Linked DNA regions of Stegostoma tigrinum. The protein of the gene in region 1 purifies or fractionates together with the protein of each later gene. This does not show direct contact. Links are inferred from orthologs where the notes say so. Each region holds a gene or a part of one and is shown on either strand. Other genes may lie near its edges. The genes, in order: claudin domain-containing protein 1-like and golga7.

The links.
Region 2: the proteins of claudin domain-containing protein 1-like (region 1) and golga7 purify together in Homo sapiens (affinity purification with mass spectrometry; 3 studies listed by BioGRID and IntAct, counting the BioPlex papers as one, with this or other methods). This does not show direct contact. The link is inferred for Stegostoma tigrinum from reciprocal best matches to the Homo sapiens genes CLDND1 and GOLGA7.

Annotation. Positions count from the first base shown.
Region 1 is NC_081394.1:10,804,617-10,815,029, forward strand, and holds the start of claudin domain-containing protein 1-like, read left to right. Parts: upstream 1-5,707; 5' UTR 5,708-5,809; intron 5,810-6,099; exon of another isoform or gene 6,100-6,227; intron 6,228-10,413. UniProt on the Homo sapiens protein: Plays a role in negatively regulating the permeability of cells to small molecules.
Region 2 is NC_081393.1:13,280,992-13,291,571, reverse strand, and holds the start of golga7 (golgin subfamily A member 7), read right to left. Parts: upstream 4,205-10,580; 5' UTR 4,117-4,204; coding exon 4,108-4,116; intron 1-4,107. UniProt on the Homo sapiens protein: May be involved in protein transport from Golgi to cell surface. The ZDHHC9-GOLGA7 complex is a palmitoyltransferase specific for HRAS and NRAS.

The DNA.
Region 1 (10,413 bases):
ACAAAGTAAATGACTGGAATCGCATGCCGAATCCAAAACTGTGCAAACTAATTAAGGTTGAGAGATCATAACAATTTTTCAAGGTGATGCTGTCAAAACAGGACAGTGAATAAGATTTAACAGATACAGAGCAGTATGGTAAGGTCACCTGTGGTGCAACATGTACCCAACATCACTGTTTAGGCCTTCTTCATGGGTATGAAACTTGGCCATCAGTCTTTGCTTGGCCGATCTGCATTGTTCTGTATCTTGAAGTCTGCCTTAGAGGGCACTTAACAAGATCGGAGGCTGAATGCTCTTGATTGCTGAAGTGTTTCCCAACTAGCAGGGAGCATTCCTGACTGTTGATTGTTGCGCGGTGTCCAATCATCCATTGTCATAGTGTCTGCATGATTTCACCAATATACCATGTCTCACTGCACCCTTGCCTGAAGTATATGAGATAGCCAACATTGGCTAAGTCACATGAGTATCTGCCATGTATATGGTGGGTGGTGTTCCCACGAGTGATGGTAGTATCCATGTTGATGATCTGACTTGTCTTGCAGAGGGTATTGTGGCAAGGTTGAGTAGTATTGTAGTCGATGTTGTCCTGAAGGCTGGGTAATTTTCTGCAAACAATGGTTTGTTGAAGATTTGTGGTTGTTTGAAGGCAAGAAGTGGAGGAATAGGGAAGATCTTGGTGAGGTGCTCATTGTCATCGACGACATGTTGAAAGCTATGAAGCTGGATGCCAATCTCGACACCTAAACCAGAGTGAGTACCTGGTAACTTCAGCTTGCCACTTGGGCCAAAGGACCACATTGGTGGACATCGGGCACCAACACCTCAGGGCACAATCCTTGGGTACAGGCCACATACACCACACTCCTTTGACACGGACTTTGGCATCTGGCATGTGGCAGTTTCTTAAGACCCTCACGGCACATTTCTGATTCACTTGTCCCTGCACTTCAAAGTCACACCTCAAGCTGCATCAGCAACTATCATTGCAATGATCCAAAAAGGACACTCTGTGCTCAGGACCATGAAACCAGCTCATGGTCTGGACTATCATGCCATTTTCTTGCTTTCTTAATGTGCACTCACTCCAAGACAATTCCGAAACTCCCAGCATTCCTGCCATGCCTTCGTTTGTCTTGCCCGTCAACCAAGGGTACCAGCCTCAGTGCTGCATTGCTGTGCTGCCGAGCACAGACATGATGCCAGGAAGCTTGTCATGGTTGACAGCAGTTCTCAGTCAAGGGAGGTAGCTTTCAGTCAGGAGCAGGGGCTTGAACATGGTCAGAGATCTTTGCAGGACAGTCAAGAACCTGTCTGCCTAAGAGGTGAGGAGCTCAATGTCAAATAGTCCACTAACCTCTTCGACTCTTTCTGCCTTTCTCTCGTGAATCTTTCCTCAAATGCTTGAGTGGCAGGTATTAAAGTAGGTGAAAGTGGGTGGCACAGTTATTGTTTTTGGCACAGGTGCGGAGGTATCCTGAGTGAGTGGGCAGCACAGGGGGACAGTGAAGAGATTGCTGTATTTGGGTTCAGTGTGCTGAGAGTGAGTGAGCGAAGATAATACAGGTGATAGTGAGGGTGGTCAAGCATGAGCCTTGAAACAGAAACAGAAATTGTTACCAAAAACTCAGTAGGTCTTGTCGCATCTGTGGGGAGAAAAATCGGTTAATGCTTCCAGTCTTATAGCAGACAGTGAAGGCAGTGACCTAAAAATACAAAGAAATTTTCATCAACTGGGTCAATGGGTTGCAGAGTGGGAAATGCAGTTTAATTTGGGTAAATGCAAGGTAAAAACAAACAAGAGCCGGACTTATGCAATTAAAAGTTGGGCCTGGTGTAGTGTTGTAGAACAGACAGACCTAGGGGTTCAGGTACATAATTCTTTGAAGTTTGCATCACATAGGGTGGCTAAGAAGGCGTTTTGCATGCTTGCCTTCATATTTTGGATCTTTGAGTAGAGGAGTTAGGAAGTTATGTTGAGGTTGTATAGGGCATTGATGAGGGCCCTTCTGGAGTCCTGCATTCAGTTCTGGTCACCTGTAAGAGAAAGGGTACTATTAAACTGGAGAAGGTTCAGAAAAGATTTACTTGCTGGGAGTTATGGGGAGAGCCTGGATTGGTTGGGACATTTTCCACTGGAGCATAGGAGATTGAAGGGTGACCTTACAGTAGTTTCCATAATCGAGAGGGTTTAGATGAGGTGAATGGAAGCTGTCTTTTCCTGAAGGTGGGACATTTTAAGACTAGGGGGCATATCTTTAAAGTGAGAGGATAAAGATTTAAATAAGATGTGTGCGGCAGTTTTTTTTTACTCAGAGAGAGGTTAACATGTGGAATGAACATCCAGAGGAAGTGGTGGATGTGGATACAGTTATAACATTTGGAAGATATTTAGATGAGCATATGAATTAGAAATTTCTGGAGGGATATGTGTCAGTGCAGGCAGATAGGGCTAGTTTAGTTTGGGATTGTGGTCACCATGGACTGGTTGGACCAAAAGGTCTGTTTCTGTGCCGTGTGACTTAATGAATCTGGTGACTTAACATCAGAGGAGCTTAAACCTTGTTGGGAGGTGTGTGCAGTAGCACAACTAGACATGTAGAAACATAGAAGATAGGAGCAGGAGTAGGCCATTAGGTCCCTCATGCCTGCTTTGCCATTCAATATGATCATGGCTGCTCATTGAGCTCAATACCCTAAACAGCACCCCTGCAGGATCCCTTGTTCACTTTAGCCACAAGAGATAACCTACCTCCTTCTTGAAAACATGTAATGCTTTGGCCTCAACTGCTTTTTTTTTGGCAGTGAATTCCACAGGCTCACCACTCTATGGATGAAGAAATTTCTCCCCATCTTAGTCCTACAAGATTTACCCCTAATTCTTAAACTATGACCCCTGGTTCTCGAATCCCCACCATTGGGAATATCCTTCCTGCACCTAGCCTGGCTAGCCCTGTTAAAATTTTAGAGGTTTCTATGAGATCCCACCCTTCCAAGCTCCAGTGAATACTATCTTAACTAACTCAATCTCTCCTCATTTGTCAGTCCTGGCATTCCCAGGAATCAATTCGGTAATCCATCACTACTCTCCTTTAGCAAAAACATCCTTCCTAAGGAGACAAAAACTACATAATGTTCCACATATGGCCTCACCAATGCCCTGTATGATTGCAGCTAGACATCCTTGTTCCAGTGCTTGAATTGTCTAGCTATGAAGGCCAACATTCAGTTTGTCTTCTTTACTGCCTGCTGCACTGGCATGTGTACTTTCAGTGACTGGGGCACCAGGACACCCAGGTCTCATTGAAATGAGTGAGTGCAAAGTAAAATGGGTGAGAAAACAGTGACATCTAACACTGGCAGAGTGGAGAAGGGCATTGACCTCCCACCGACACCACAGATTGTACCAACCCTGGGCTGCAGCCAATGTTTCCTTTAATATTAATCTGCTGGCCTGGGAGGTCTGAGGGGAGCTGTGGCATCTGGAAGTGGAGGCCAATGTTTTGGCATGCTGATCAACACATATAGAACTTTTAGCAGTGGCGGGGCTTGGAGGTAACAGTGCTGACAACCTCAGACTGGGCTGCCAGAGTCTGGTGTGGCACCCTCCTATGTTGGCTCTGGGGGGAAGGTGATAGTGCGTCTCCATGGCACTCCCTCCAGGGTCCTGTCCATAAAGCATGAAACCAAGATACCACCCCACGCCCCACACCACATCTGGAACAAGCATGGGGAAATGAGCAGAGCAAACCCAGACTTTTTAAGGATAGCATCGGTGCCAAAGTTTCTGGGATTTTCCCGCTCTGGCGAGATGTTTTGGGAACACCACATCCCAGAATTGGGGGCGAGAATCCATGGAGAGATGCTCAGTGGGTGTGAGATCAGTAGGGAAGAGGTGGATTTATTAAGAGGGGACAAGAAAAAAATCACTGGGCCAAGCACAAACACTCTGCCAAACATGACAAAACTGACACTTGGTCAAAAGCAATGAAAGATTTTTGATCCCAAAATGCTTGTTGCTGCGCTGATCCTTGTGGAATACCACTTCCTGCCTTCTAGCACTGTGAATAAACTGATATTTATATCCACCCTCTGTATTTTCTCTTGGAAAACAGTGCATAATCCAATCCAGTACTTATCCCCTGAATAAACTTTCACCAAATTTTGGTTTCTTCCCACAATCCAAAGGCATGCAGGTCACGTAGATTGTCCATGATAAATTGTCCATAGTGTGCAGGGATGTGCCAATTAGGTGAGTTAGCCATTGTAAAAACATCATGCCAATTTATGGGGATAGGGTGGTTGAGTGGGTCTGGCTGGATGTTGTTCAGAGGTTCAGTGCAAACTCAAAGGCCTGAATGGCCTATTCCTGTGTGGCAGGGACTCTGCGATTCTAAGTTATTCATCAAACTTAAACACAGAACGTTTTTGGGAAATTATGTTTTCATTTCATTATTTGTTCATGGGATGAATACATTGTTAGCTCGGCCAGCATTTACTTATATTTTATGAATAACCCATCACTTCGTTAACTAATTAAAAGAAGCAACGATTTACAAGCACTGCAGCCAACGCAATAACAAAATAGTAACAATAACAAAAGTTAAGAAAGGGTTGGAAGGGAATACATTAAAATGAAGCTGGATGAGGAAATAACAGATCTAAACACTTCCTGTTGTGCCCACCTCTTCCTAAATGTATTGAGGGCATGGGTGGACACTAGATGTTCCCTCTCCAAGGACAACTGGGCAGGAACATAATTGTGAAAGAGACCAAGTCAACTGGGAACCACAAAGCCCCTCCATGTCCCGCTGTCTCTCCGGTTGATGATAACATGAGCCAGATCCGGGCAGAGCCACTAGGTGGTCCATTGCCTTGTCCTTCCCCATCCACATCGGGCGCACAAATATTAACAGCATGGAACTGAAGTGACACCAAAAGAACAAAAGCCAACATTTTGAAAAGGACTAAGGAGCGCAATTAACTACAGCCAACATAGACATTGCCCAAAGCTGCACAGAATAAATAGTCAAGGCCAGAATTTATTGGCTGCCCTCAAGTTCCCATAGGGCAATTAAGAGTCAACCACTTTGCTGGAGTCTAGACTAGGTAGAAATGACAGCTTTCTCTCTCTAAATGACAATCGTGTTTTACTTGGCTTTCTATGACAATTGACAGGGTTACCATTAGGCCAGATTTTTACTGAATTCAAATTTCACTATTTGCCATGGAGGGATTTGAATACATTAGCCTGGTATAACACAGAAATACAGTTAATCAGGGGTTTCTGGATGACCTGGTTGCTGTAACTGCCGTTGCACTACCACAACGGCCCCAGACCTCTTCAGTTGTTCTCCCCTGGGTCCGTGGTGGGACAGCTGGCAGTTTTTGTAGATCTGAAACTAGAAACTCAAATAGGTAAGGCTGGCGTGTGGTAAGTGGGATGCGGTGGAAACCAAGAAATGGGTGCATGCAGGCCATCTGCAGCTTGTTCAGCGCGTTACAACAGGGCTGCAAGGGGGCGGGGCTGAAAGGGACAGGGTGGAGCTGAGTGTCAGGGGCGGGGCTAACCACCGGGGGCGGGGCTGAAATGGAGACGATGGAACGGGGTCACAGGGGGCGGGGCTGGGAGGGAGAGGGCGGGGCTGAAAGTGCGAGGGCGGGACTGGGCGACAGGGGCGGTTCTGAAGGGGTGCGGGCGGGGCGGAGCGACAGAGGCGGCGGAGCGAACATCTGCGGATGAGAACGAGAAGGCGCGGCTCAGTTTGGGCAGGCGGGGCGAAGATCGAGGGCCAAGGCTCAGCGGGTAGGGGTGGGGATGTGGCTGGGTGAAACAGCTCGGCAGGGTGGGAGAAACAGGGGCGCGAACGGAGTTACGGGGGTGGGCGGGGCGGAAGCAGATGGGGCGGGACTAGAATTGATGGCGCGAGACGGAGACGGTTGGGGGGTGCGGTGACAGAGCGAAGGTCGCGGCTAGGACTGAGGCGGGCGGGGGTCAATGCTGCTGGAGCTGGCGCGGGCGCAGAAAGCGGCGGGTAATGGGCGGACGCCGACCTTTTGTCGTCATCGCTGTGAACTGACGAATCCGAAGGGGAGGTTGGAAAGGGGCGGGGCCACGTTTGTGGCGCGATTACGTAGCGTTACCGGATGTTACGGCACAGCCGGAAGTGGATGTGAAGGCTGGTGGTTGAAGATTTGGAGAGAGGGCAGGTAGGAGTGTGAATGTGAGTATGAGTGTGAGTGTGAGATGGGGCTTAGTGGGGTGTCTGTGGACCGCTTGAGATGGGGAGGCTAACAGAGGTCAGCTTGCACGGTCCCGGTGTGGTGAAGGTCAGGACCCCTGGACGTTGTTGAACAGGGAGGTCTCTTCATTATCAGGGAAGCCCCATGGTGGTTAGTTAAGAGTAGATACTTGACCATCAAGAGCGAGAATCGGTGGTTTGTTTTTTTTGTCTTTCCTCCCTGCTAACCTTCCCAAACATGAAAAGAGTTGACGAAAACAAAATCCAAAGAACTGTGGACTTCTCAGTTAGCGTTTTGAGACATTGGCACCGTCGCCTTTCAATCTGAGAATTTATGCTTGAAATTTGGTGACTGTCTCAAATGCAGTTGTTCAGTAAAACAGTCGTCCACAGCCACGACTGTAGATTTTCAGTTAGTGCTCGTGTATGCACACAGAGAAAACAAAACAAAGAACTTCGGATGCTGGAAATCTGAAACAAAGACAGAAATCGCTTGCAAAACTCAGCAGGTCTGGCAACATCAGTGAAGGGAAAACAAAGTTAACGTTGTGGGCTCAGTGACGGTTCTTGAGATGTGCATTTGGATTTGTGTGGAGATTTTCACAGCTCTGCTAGCTGTCGGAATGCAGGAAAACTTCCTTCAAGAAGGGTATAAATACACTGGAAGCAGTTCAGTGAAGAGTTCCTAGACTAATACCTGTAATAGGTAGGTAGAGGACAGGCCTGGCTTACATTTGCTGAAGATTAGACAAGTCAGAGGTGACTTCTTTGAAGCATTTAAAATCCTAGGGTTCTTGAGAGGATGAATGTTGAAAGGATGTTTCCTTTTCTGGGCGTATCTTGAACTAGGCTCTTAAAAATTAAGAGCTTGCTAATTTATACAGATCAAGAGATTGTCTAAGGAAAACAGTGGTGCTGAATCTTAATAAATGAAACTGTGGAGATAGGCCTTGATAGGCTGGGGAGAGTTACTTAAAGGGATGACATGGATAGGCAATGGCAAACATTGAAGGAAAGCATGGGGGAACTGCAATGACATTTATTCTTGTCTGGCAATAAAACAGTATGGTTAACAGGGGCAATCCATACCTTACAAAGGAAATTGGAGATAGTATCTGATATAAGGACGAAGCATACAGATTGACCAGAAAAATAATATGTCTGAGGATTGGGAACAGTTTAGAATTCAACAGAGAAGGACCAAGGAATTGATTGAGAGAGGAAAAAAACAGTATGACAGTAAGCTTGTAGAGAACATTAAAAAAGTGGCACTAAGTTTCTGTAGGTTTGCGAAGACAAATGTAGGACACCCTTTTTAGAAACGGGGGGATGTATAATGGGGACAAAGAAATAACTGATTACATACTTTGGTTCTGTCTTCACAAAAGAGCACAAATCAGATATCAAAAATGTTGGAGAATGCAAGAACAAGTGAGAGGGAAGAATTGAGGGTGATCAATATTAGTGGAGAAATGGTGTTGGGAAAATTGATGGGATTGAATGGTGGCTAAATCCCCAGGGCCTGATAATCTCGATCCCAGAGTACTTAAGGATGTGGCTTGAGGAAAAAGTGGAGAAATTGGTGGTCATTTTCCAGGATTTTATAGATTCTGGAACAGTCCCTGCAGATTGGAGGATAGCTAATGTCACTCCAGTATTCAAAAAGGGAGGCCGAGAGAAACCAGGGAATTATAGACCAGTAAGCCGAAATTAGGACAGGGAAATGTGCAGTGGGACCTGGGCATCCTTGTGCACCAGTCTCTCTGAGAACTCTCGCCCCCATTCATCTGAACTCCAGTGAAAACAATTCTAACCGCGTCAATCCATCAGTCAGACCCAACAACCCTGGTAAACCTGCGCTGTACTCCTTAACAGCAAGGGCATTCTTCCTCAGAAAAGGAGAAGAAAACTGCATGCACCATTCCAGGTGTGGCCTCACCAAGGCCCTGCGTAACTGCAACAACACATCCCTGCTCCTGGACTCAAAACCTCTCGCAATGAAGACCAACATACCATTTGCCTTCTTTACCGCCTGTTGCAACTACATGCTTACCTTCAGTGACCGGTGCACAAGGATGCCCAGGTCCCACTGCACACTCCCCTGTCCCAAATTACAGCCATTCAGGTAGTAAACTGCCCTCTTGTTTTTGCTTCCAAAGTTTAGAACTCACATTTATCCAAATTATACCGCATCCGTTATTGATTTGGCCACTCACCCAACCTGTCCAGATCATGCTGAATGTCTCTGCATCCTCACCCCAGTTCACCCTCCCACCCAACTTGACAGTGTCAAAGCAGGGAGGACATTCCTAACGGTGGGTGTGACCAGAAGTAAGGGTTAGATTCTGAGGATGTGGGATAGACCCTTTAGGACTGAGATGAGGAGACATTTCTTCACCCAAAGAGTGGTGAGTTGGTGGAATTTATGGTCACAGAAAGTAGTTGATGCCAAAATATTGAATGTATTCACGAGGTGAGTAGCTATAGCACTTGGAGCGAATGGGATCAAAGGCTATGGTGAGGAAGCAGGATTAGGCTATTGAGTTGGATGATTATCCATGATCATGACAAATAGTGGAGCAGGCTCAAATGGCCGAATGGTCGTCTCCTGCTCCTATCTTCTGTATTTCTATGTTTCTGTTTCTTGAAACTGTTCCTAAATGGTGGTGGAAACAAGTATCTTGGAATATTTTCAATGAAAACAGTCTATAAAACTCTGGTTAGACCACACTTTGAATATTGTGTTCAGTTCTGGTCACCTCATTTTAGGAAAGATGTGGAAACTTCAGAGAGGGTGCAGAGGAGATTTACCAGGATGCTGACTGAACTAGAGGACAGGCCTCATGAGGAAAGGTTGAGGGAACTAGGGCTTTTTCCATTGGAATGAAGAAGGATAAGAGGTGACTAGATGGAGGTTTACAAGATGATGAGAGGCATAGATAGAGCGGATAGCCAGAGTCTTGTTCTGAGGGCGGAAATAAGTATTAAGAGGGCACATAATTTTAAGGTGACTGGAGGAAGTAATAGGGGAAATATCAGAAGTAGGTTCCACATACAGAGAGTGGTAGGCATGTGGAATGCACTGCCTGCAGTCGTAATGGAGTCAGACGCTTCAGAGACTTTTAAGCGACTCTTGAATAGGCACATAGAGGATAGTAAAATGTAGGGTATGCAGGGTAGATTGGTTTTGGTAGGATAATAGGTCGGCACAACAACGTGGGCCTGTACTGTGCTGTATTGTTCTATGCCTGTGCACTTCATAGGAGCTTTACAGGTCATGGCACGACATAAAGTTTTGTGCAGAGAAATTGGATCAGTTGGCTGAAAGCTCGCTGAGAAAGGGAGGGAAAATGAGCTTTAGAGGAGGAGAGCAAGGTAAGGGGAGTGAATCCCAGAGGCATGGAATGGCTGGCGATGTTGCAATTAAAATTTGGGATGCACAAAATGACAGCAGTGGAAGACCACTGAGATCCTGGTGGCTTGTAGGAGCTATAAAGCCCCGGTACACATCATAGAATCATAGAATCCCTTCAGTGTGGAAGCAGGCCATGTGGCCCCTTGAGTCCACATCACTCTGTGAAGAGCATCCCATCCATCCTGTTCCTCTTACTTTGCATTTGCATGGCCAATCCACTTTAGCCTGCAGACCTTTCGACTGTGGCAGGAAACCTGAGGACCCAGCATAAATCAATGCAGACATGGGGAAAATGCAAACTCCGTACAGTCAGTCACCCAAGGCTGGAATTGAACCTGGGTCCCTGGTGCTGTGAGGCAGTACTGCTAAACCACTGAGTCATTGTGCTATATTTTAAACATGGTTGAAAATTTTGAAGTATTCATGATACTTGATGTGGTGCTGCTGTGTATTAGTGGACAGAGACATGGTAGGGGAGCAAGACTTGCAAGAAAAGACATTAAATTGCTGTAAAGCTGGATTCTCCAGCATCTGCAGCTCCCATTATCTCATTAAATTGCTGCGTTTGGATGACTTTGTGTAGGGAAGGGCAGCTGGCATACCTTGGCAAGTGGTATTAAAGACAAAGCTGAGTTCACATAGGGACAAAGTTGGGTGATGTTATTGTTGCGAAAGTAGTGAAGGCAGAAAACATCTGGTTGGAATCTCTTCAAATGAGATGCAGTGTTAAGTTGAGATGTCTTGTTACCATGG
Region 2 (10,580 bases), on another chromosome or scaffold:
TTTGTCATTTCTATAAATGACTTGGACGCAGGCATAGGTGGATGGGTTAGTAGGTTTGCAGATGACACTAAAGTCGGTGGAGTGGTGAACAGTGTGGAAGAATGTTGCAGGGAGGCTTGGATAACTGCAGAATTGGGCCGAAAGATGGCAAATGGAGTTTAATACGGATAAATGTGAGGTGATTCACTTTGGGAGGAATAAGAAGGCGGCAGAATACCGGGTCAATGGAAAGATTCTTGGTAGTGTGGATATGCAGAGAGATCTTGGTGTCCATGTACATAGATCCCTGAAAGTTGCCACCCAGGTTGATAGCGCTGTTAAGATGGCTTACGGTGTGTTATGTTTTATTGGTAGAGGGATTGAGTTCCGGAACCGTGATGTCATGCTGCAACTGTACAAAACACTAGTGCGGCCTCATTTGGAATACTGCATGCAGTTCTGGTCACCCCATTACAGGAAGGATGTGGAAGCACTGGAGAAGGCACAGAGGAGATTTAGCAGGATGTTGCCTGGTCTGGAGCACAGGCCCTATGAAGAAAGGCTGACAGACTTGGGTCTGTTCTCATTGGAGAGAAGGAGGCTAAGAGGGGATTTAATAGAGACATACAAGATGATCAGAGGATTAGATAGGGTGGACAGTGAGAGCTTTTTTCCAAGGATGATGACTTCAGCTTGTGCAAGGGGAGCATAGCTACAAATTGAGGGGTGATAGATTTGACAGATGTCAGAGGCAGGTTCTTTACTCAGAGTGGTAAGGGCGTGGAACACTCTGCCTGCCAAAGTAGTTAACTCAGCCACATTAGGGGCATTTAAACAGTCCTTGGATAAGCATATGGATAATGATGGGATCGTGTAGGGGGAGGGGCTTAGATCAGTTCACAGATCGGCGCAACATCGAGGGCCGAAGGGCCTGTTGTGCGCTATATTGTTCTATTTTCTACCTCACTTAACTTCCAATCTGCACCTTGCACCCATATAACAGGGGGAAAATAACAAGAACTACCACTAAAACTTAAGCACCATGTCAATTCAGAGAAATGCCACATTCTTGCACATTTGCCACATTTTCAGTAAAAGGTTGCAGCAGTGAATCAGCAAAAAAAAAAGCGTTGACAGAGATAATGGGAACTGCAGATGCTGGAGAATCCGAGATAACAAAGCGTGGAGGTGGATGAACACAGCAGGCCAAGCAGCATCTTAGGAGCACACAAGCTGATGTTTCAGGCCTAGATCCTTCATCAGAAAAGGAGGATGGGGAGAGTGTTCTGAAATAAATAGGGAGAGGGGGAGGCAGATCAAAGATGGATAGAGAAGATAGGTGGAGACAAGACAGACAAGTTAAAGTGGGGGGGGGAGATGGAGCCTGTAGAGTTGAGTATAGGTGTGGGAGGGGATAGGTCAATCCCGGGAGGACGGACTAGTCAAGGGGTCAGGATGAGGTTAGGAGGTAGGGATGGAGGTGCAGCTTCAAGTGGGAGGTGGGGATAGGTGGGAGAAAGAACAGGTTGGGGGGGGGCAGGGACGAGCAGGGCTGGTTTTGGGATGCAGTGGGGGAAGGGGAGATTTTGAAGCTAGTGAAATTCACATTGGTACCACTGGGCTGCAGGGTTCCCAAGCGGAACAGGAGTTGCTGTTCCTGCAACCTTCGGGTGGCATCATTGTGGCACTGCAAGAGTCCCAGGATGGGCATGTCATCTAAGGAATAGGAGGGAGAGTTGAAATGGTTCACAAGTGGGAGCTGCAGTTGTTTATTGCAAACTGAGTGTAGGTGTTCTGCAAAGCAATCCCCAAGCCTCCGCATGGTTTCCCCGATGTAGAGGTAGCCACAATGGGTACAGCGGATGCAGTATACCACATTGGCAGCTGTGCAGGTGAACATCTGCTTGATGTGGAAAGTCTTCTTGGGGCCTAGGATGGGGGTGAGGGAGGAGGAGTGGGGGCAAGTGTAGCACTTCCTGTGGTTGCAGGAGAAAGTGCCAGGTGTGGTGGGGTTGGAGGGGAGTGTGAAGCGGACAAGGGAGTCACGGAGAGAGTGGTTTTCACTAGCTTCAAAATCTCCCCTCCTGCCAGTGCATCCCAAAACCAGCCCAGCACGTCCCTGCCTCCCTAACCCGTTCTTCCTCTCACCTATCCCCTCATCCCACCTCAAGTTGCACCTCCATTTCTTATCTACTAACCTCATCTCGCCCCCTTGACTTGTCCATCCTCCCCGGAATGACCTATCCCCTCCCTACCTGCACTCACCTCTACAGGCTCCACCCCTGCCCCTTTAACTTGTCTGTCTCCTCCCCACCCATCTTCTACTCTGTCCATCTTCGATCCACCTCCCCATCTCTCCCTATTGATTTCAGAACCCTCTCCCCATCCCCCTTTTCTGATTAAGGGTCTAGGCCCGAAACGTCAGCTTGTGTGCTCCTAAGATGCTGCTTGGCCTGCTGTGTTCATTGAGCTCCACACTGTTACCTCTGTAAAGCAAACAAGTTTTCTTTCCCTAAATAAAATGCTCTGAATTAACTATCAGCATCTGGAATCCACTGTGGCCATTGACTGCTAAATGAAGTGTAACCTCAAATCTGATTAATATGTGGAAAACATCATCTACTTTTCCTTTAGGTGCTCCTATTTTTAAAAAGTAAATTCTTGTGATATGACACTCATTCAGCGACATCCTGATAAATACATACAAAACAAGGATGTTACAAATGGGGGGGGCGGGGGGGGGAGAAGGGAGAGAATGAAAGAGGCTGTCAGAAAGTCACTAGATGAGGGATGCAGGCTCCAGGTGAAAACTCTAGAGACGGAGTTTCAAATATCACCATGACAAATGGAGGAATTTGCCTTCAATTTTAAAAACAAAATAAAAAGATCTAGTGTTGAAAACTAGGCTGAGGATTGATGACAAATCAAACATCAAGTATCATTGAAACCCACCCCATTCACAAATGTCACTCAGCATACTAATCTGCCAATCTCACTAAATGTGGTGTGATAATCCCATACCCACAGCAATGTTGTGATCAGAGATAATGGGAACTGCAGATACTGAAGAATCCAAGATAACAAAGTGTGAAGCTGGATGAACACAGCAGGCCAAGCAGCATCTCAGGAGCACAGTGCTCCTGAGATGCCGCTTGGCCTGCTATGTTCATCCAGCTTCACACTTTGCTATCCCACAGCAATGTTGTTGTTTCTGAGCTGCTTTCTGAATGGCCCAGCAAGCCACTCAGTTCAAGAACAATTAGGGGCCAACAACAAATGCTCACCACGAAGAAACACAAAAAGAAGAAGACTTGAGCTTCATTCATGCAACTCCACAGCCGATGAAGGGCTTTCGAAGTGAAGTTATTGCCATGAAATAAGGCCAGCCAATTTACACACAGCAGGCTTCCAAGGTCAGCCATAGGATAACAAACAGCTTGTTTACTTTCAAGGAATACTGTCTGAGAAACAAATATTGGCTAGCTTTCTGGGGACAGCACTCTCTGCTTCTTGAACAAAAATGAGACCAAGGAGTCTGTATATTCACTGGAAAGGGGCAGACCTCTGCCGTACGTCGGGGTTGAATGCTCAAATTGTGATGACTGATTCGATTGGAAACGCACGGCCCTTTCCACAACATCTTCCCCTCAGGAACCCCAACCCTATATCAAATTTTCCCTTCACCCCACCAACCATTCCCCCTTCTTCCACATCCAATCTGGTCCTTTCTCTTAAACCATACCCTCTTCCCCTTCGTCATCCCAACCCCAGAAACCCACTTCGCTCAAACATTCCCCTCCCCGACCCTCCACCACACCCTTTCCCAAAACCCCTTGGAATAAATCGGTGAATCAAGTAAACTGTTACTTCCACGACAGACAGATGAGACACAAATAAACAAAGCGCTTCCTGAAGGGTGCTGGGGCTGGGAGAGTAGAGGCGGACCGGTTTCCGGGAGGCACCAGAGGAGTCGCCAGCCTCCGAGCAGACACAAAATTCGCGGCCACCGCCCATCCCCCAAAGAACCCCTTCTCGGGTTCGGCGAGAGCCACTTTCACCAGCCCCCAGCTCTCAAACCACCCGCCCACAGAATCCGAGAAACCTTTCCACCGAACCACCTCCTCCTACCTCCGCCATCTTGAGCCGCCGCCTGCTTCCGGGTTACTGGCTCCCACGATCCGAGTTCCGCCTGGAACAAAAGGTTCCCCCCCCTCTCAGAGCTTACAGCCTAGTACTACACATGTTTCTTCTGCATTGTTTGATCCTTCATATCATAAACCTCTTCAATGAGCTGGTCATCCTCGTAGTGTCAGTTTATTTTATTTTACATTTTGCATAAGTCGGCAAAATAGTCTGGAAGATGGTTATAACAAAACCCTAAAAAACCTGTGCAGCCCATTTAGAAAATCATAAACCCCATCTTCTTGCAGATTATACCATTGACATTGTTCTCACTTTTTCCTTCAGATTGGTACAAATTGTTCAAACACGTTCACATTCACACGCTTTCCTACACGAGTGGAGGCATACATTTGAATTTTTCTCAGCAGCCCTGAAACAGACCATTAACCCCGACTACCCAGAGGGAACCACTCATGAAAAAAAGTTGCACATTGAGGGGAAACGCTTATTTGTGAAACTGCTTGTTGATGTCTCATCAATATTCAATTTTCTATCTTCTCAAATACACTATATAAGCAAGAGATTGAGAAAATCTGACATGAAAATCAGTATGGGTACCTGGTAGATTTTTCCCTCTGCTTGCTCCGAAGAGGCTCCGGGTTGTTTACATTGGAGTATTAAAAAAAAGTAGCCCATTTGACCCTGGAGCCTTGCTCCGACATTTAATATGATCATTGCTGATTATTCAGGCCAACACCCTAATCCCATGCTTGCCGCTACCATATTCTTTTTGCCACAACAGTTATAGCTACCTCCTTCTTGCAAACATATAGTGTTTTGACATAAACCACTTTCTGTAGTCGTAACTTCCACAGGCTTAACACGCTCATAGTGAAGAAATTTCTCCTCATCTCAATCCTAAAAGGTTTATTCCCTATCCTGTAACTATCAACCCTGGTTCTGGACATTCCCCAAATTGGGGTACATCCCTCCTTCATCTAACCCGTCTTGTCCAATGCTACAGCCAATCTGTATCTCAGGGCATGATCCACGGGCACCATCCACACCCAAACCTTACCCACAACCATATTGGCATCTCACTCTCTGAGACACTGGCAGGCCACACACTTCCATTGCAGGGAGCACTGAAAACTAGCCTTGCAAATCTGCAACAGGAAATTTTTGCGCACAGACAGGCACACAGCTCAACAGTTGGACCAGGCTGCATCTCAGGACTGCTTGCTTGCTCTGAAAGTGTTCCCTTACTTAGCGTCTACCTGCACGCTTGCACCACTATCCCTTTCATTACCTCGTCATGCCACGCTTATTAGACTGCTGGGTGGTCAGCCAGAGCCAAAGGCTGTCAGGACAGCCATACTGAGGTATTCTTGAGCACAGACATGCACACACGCGTGCCTACACACACACACACACACACACACACACACACACACACACACACACACACACACACACAGTTTGTCACATTTAGCAGTCAGAAACTGTCCAGTGAGCCAGGGAGTGGGGGATCTTAGTGAATGGTAAACCAAGAAAACTACAGCTTTCACCAGCTGCAAGCATAGCATTCATATGACACATTTATTTGACCATATGATCCTCAGTTCAGTCAAAGGGGGGGGGGTCACTGTCGGTCAGTCAGTTACTTTAGGGATACAGTCTGCACACACTCAAGGGGCTTGGCCATGGTCAGTCAGCTGCTTGGGACACTCGCAGTCAGGGAATCTGCCCCAGTGTAGTTAGGGAGTGGGTAGCGGTCAGTCCTGCAGTGCCAACACAAGCTGTCAGCATTAATTGCAGACTGTTAGTCAGGGAGCTGCAAGGACTGCACTCAAGAGCCTGGTCAGTCAAAGACCAGGGACTGTTAGTTAAAGTTGGTCAGAGGCCTGAAGCAAATGAAGCCCACGGAGTTCATTCATTCACCATTTGGGAAATCCAAGGGGGCCCTGTTCTGGAAGGGAAGGAATCACTGCCAACAGGAGTGGAGGAATCAAGGCTAGTTTGGGAAAGCAGAGGCACTTACAGTGGTGTGGATGAGGTTGTGATGGGAAGAAACATGAGATGAATCGTAGGGGAGCTGGGAACAGTAAGACATGGCAAGGGAAGATAGCAATAATGGCATCACAAAATGCTAACGCTGCTTGAAGGGAAACTGTGCAAATTCCAAGGGCTCTGCATAATACACAAAATATTGCTTCATCATATGCCATGTAAGTGTAACAATGGTCTGCACTGAACAGTGAAGGTTGAACGTCTGGGATGGAGAGGGGGAGGGTGTCAGAAAATCATAGATTCCCTACAGTGCAGAAAGAGGCCATTCAGGCCAATGGGTCTGCAGTAATCCTCCAAAGAACATTCTGGGGGACAAGGCTTACCCACAGAGACCATGAGTCATGACACCATTGCACACTGCCCTGACTGATGTGGAGAGTTGGTATGGTGCTGCTCATGTGCTAACCATGACCCTTGATGCAGCAGAGCTTTGAACTGTTGAAGATGTGACTCTACTGCTCGGACCAGTCTTGGTTGGTGGTTGTAGGTGGACCCTGCGATAGAGTCAGGGCAGAATGTGTCCTCATCATCCTGGCTCCGTGCTGTCCTCTGGACAACTGCAGCTGACAATAAGACCATGTACTGTGTGCAAATAGACTGGGCAAATGGGGTGCAAAGGTCTGTTTTAGCATCCGTAGTGTCAAACACTACCCATGATATTCACTCATAGACTCAGAGAATCCCTGTAGAGTGTAAGCTGACCATTTGGCCCATTGAGTCCACAATGACTCTCTGAAGAGCAGCCCACTTAGACTTACCCTGCTACCTAATCCTCAATCCTGCATTTCCCTTGGCTAGTCCAACTAGCCAGTGCATTCCTGGACAGTTTGAGGCAATTCAGCATGGCCAATCGACCTAGCGCGCATATATCTTCTCCTCTATCCATCTTCAGTCCGCCTCCCCCTCTCTCCCTATTTATTTCAGAACCCTCTCCCCATCCCCCATTTCAGATGAAGGGTCTAGGCCCGAAACATCAGCTATGGTGCTCCGAAGATGCTGCTTGGCCTGCTGTGTTCATCCAGCCCCACACTTTGTTATCCCACATATCTTTGAACTGTGGGAGGTAACCGGAGCACCTGAAGGAAACCCACACAAACATGGAGAGAACATGCAAACTCACACATAGAGTGGCCAAAGGGAGGAATCAAGCCTGGGTGCCTGGTGCTGTGAGGCAGCAGTGCTATCCACGGAGCCACAATGCCGTGCAACTAATTAGAGTTATAGAGTCAGAGTGATGTACTGCAAGGAACCAGACCCTTCAGTCCAACTCATCCACTCAGACCAGATATCTTGAATGACCAGCATTTGGCCCACAGCCCTCGAAACACTTCCTGTTCATGTACTCATCCAGATGCCTGGTAAATGTTGTAATTGTACCAGCCTCCACCACCTCCTCCAGCAGCTCATTCTATGCACACTCCAACCTCTGAGTGAAAATATTGTCCCTTGGGTCCCTTTTCAATCTTTCCCCTCTCACTTTAAGCTTATGCCCACTAGTTTTGGATTCCACTATCCTGGGAAAAAGACCTTGGCGATTCACACTGTCCATTCCCCTCATCGTTTAATAAACCTCCACAAGGTCACCCCTCAGCCTCCCGGTGCTCCAGGGAAAATAGCCCCAGTCCATTCAGCCTCTCCCTATAGTTCAAATCCTCCAATCCTGGCAACACCCTTTTAAATCTTTTCTGAACATTTTCATGTTTCACAACATCTCTAAGTAGGGAGACCAGAATTGAATGCAGTATTCCAAAAGAGGTCTAACCAATGTCCTCATGGAGAAGATATCACTCCATATGGCTCCAAACTCAAGAATGCCGTTGGGCACTCAGCAAAAGCTGTAGATTGTCAATGTTGGGAAGGATGAACTGGTCGGCAAAACACTACACAGTCAATTATATTGGCAGCCTTAGAGGCTATCCATTGCGACCCTGGTTCATGACTGCATTGTCTAATCCCCTGGCTAATGCAGAGCACAAATTGACAGACACTGGTGCCTCAACTAGGGCCATGATCAAGCAGAGCATTAGGCTGTTGAAGATGAGGTTCAGATGCTTGGATTGGTCTGGGAGAGCTTTCATTTGTTGTTTTTTTTAATATTGAGATGTGTATAAAACACCACTTGACAGAACGGTCACAAAAGTTTTGAGGTAGACTAAGGAAACATAACACAAGAAAAAAAAGTCATGTTTCTCCTTCTTATGTAGTCAATAGATTCCACCTTCTCTTGTGATGCATGAATCAACAGCAACACTTGAAAAAAGAAATTGTCGATTGCAAAGCCCTTTGAGATGTCCTTCGCTCATAAAAGGCACCATCCTCTGAAGAAGGGTCTAGGCCCGAAACGTCAGCTTTTGTGCTCCTGAGATGCTGCTTGGCCTGCTGTGTTCATCCAGCCTCACATTTTATTATCTTGGAATCTCCAGCATCTGCAGTTCCCATTATCTCTCATCCAAACCCATGTATTTCTCTCAAAATACATAAAGGAGACAATATTAATAATCACTTGCATCAGTTTTAGGTTTTTGTGGACAACTTAAAATTTATGGAATTTAATCCCTGGACATTAATATGAATTCTTGGTGTATGTAACAAAAACACAGTCTTGTTCAGTCACCATGAACCAGTACTTTCGATAATATATTGCACGTGACCTGACACAATACCTCTGTTGTTATAAAACAGCTTTTCCTCCGGGGCCACTGTAACTCCAGGAGGGAGCACTTGGTGATCATGCTCGGGAGCCATGTCCAGCTGATCCTATCAGATAAATAACAACAGATAGTTTATTCGCATTTGTAATCACAGATTGTAAATTGAAACTAAATGAGAAATTTCTCCGATGCTGCATTAGGTGGCCAGGTTGTTTCACAGGTCAACTATCACCAAGTACGACGTCCAACATAACTGTTCAAAGAAAGGAAATTGGTGTTTTTCAGGATGCATCCTATGAGCCCTGGAAATCTGACACAACTCTGTGACTTTTTTTTTGCTTTACCCTATTTCATTTCCACTCAGGTTTGGAAAGGACACTGCTTCGGTCTACTGCCTTGGGACACTTCAAATCATGTAACTTGTCCCATTGTACAACAAAGGACAAGACCATTTGGCCCATTAAATTTTTCCACACAGTGCCACATGTTCTTTTGCTAGTCTCTGTAAACTTGCATTCATTGATGAGACAACGTTCAGCAATTCAGTCATGAAGACCTCTTATACTCGACTTTAAACATGAACTCTGTTTCTTATTCCTCAGATGTTGAAGACTTCCAGTATTTTCTATTTTTATTACAGCAACTATAAATTGTTTTTTTTTATATCTTCTAACTCAAGCCACTCTGACTCCAAATGTGCGAAAATACATGTAAATCAATGGAGAGAATGACAATCCTTGTCAGCTCAATTTTCACTTCCCCAGTCTGGTGGATCCCAGGAGCTTGTGTTTTTGAAGGAAACAGTGTGGTTAACAAATGCAAGGAGAGGTGAGAACTGCATTCAATTCCATCACCCATCCCACCCCCACAACCAGCGCCTATTATCCAGCAGACCAGGGAAGTTGATATTGAGCTGGGAACTGAATCCAGTTTTTACCCACTTCAATCTAGCTGTCTGCTAATTCAAGTTTTGGGTGGCAAGGACACTCAGTCCAAGTGGTCCTATGTTAAACTTACAGGAGAAATCCCATGAAGTCCTTTGAGCAATTTTATCCAAAGCCCTGGATGAATCAAAGCAGAAAAATGAATGTTCCCTTTTAAATTCTGGTCCCTGCAACTAAACCATATTGTTCCCCAATCCCCACTCTCCAAGGCTTACTGGATAGCTGCAAAATGTTCCTCCCCAGTTACATGGCAGATACTCTGGCATTCCCACCCACCAGATGAGGCAACGACTCCTGCTGGGCTCAGAGGAGGTTGGAGATAGACCGGAGTTGGGGCAAAGAGTGTTGAAGTCCAAATGTGGAAAAGGGCTTGGACTGTCTGTCAAAATCTTTCCAGGCCTCAGAACACACCTTTAGCACTCACACAGCCAACAACCAACGTCTTGATATAGGCTCGGAGGGTCCATTTCACCCATCTCCACCAACAGATAAACTAAAATCTCAGTTAAACCAGGGATGGTTTTTGGCTTTAAAAAAAATATTTTTGCATATTAAGTTTTGCATTTAAGGTTCAAACATTTGAAGAGACTCGTAAATGGGAGAAGTTGAGCATGGCTGCACAGAAAATAAAGAGCTTATTGACAGCGAGTTGTCAGAGCTAGCAAGGCCCAAGTAATGATTGCACTCACAAGCTGACAAAGGGGCATTCATTGATGGCTTCAAATAGCATCATAATTCATTGTGAAGACCTTTCTAACAGCTTTGTTTATAATTATTATCATTCTCCTCTGTAAAGAATCAACCAGTTTTCCAG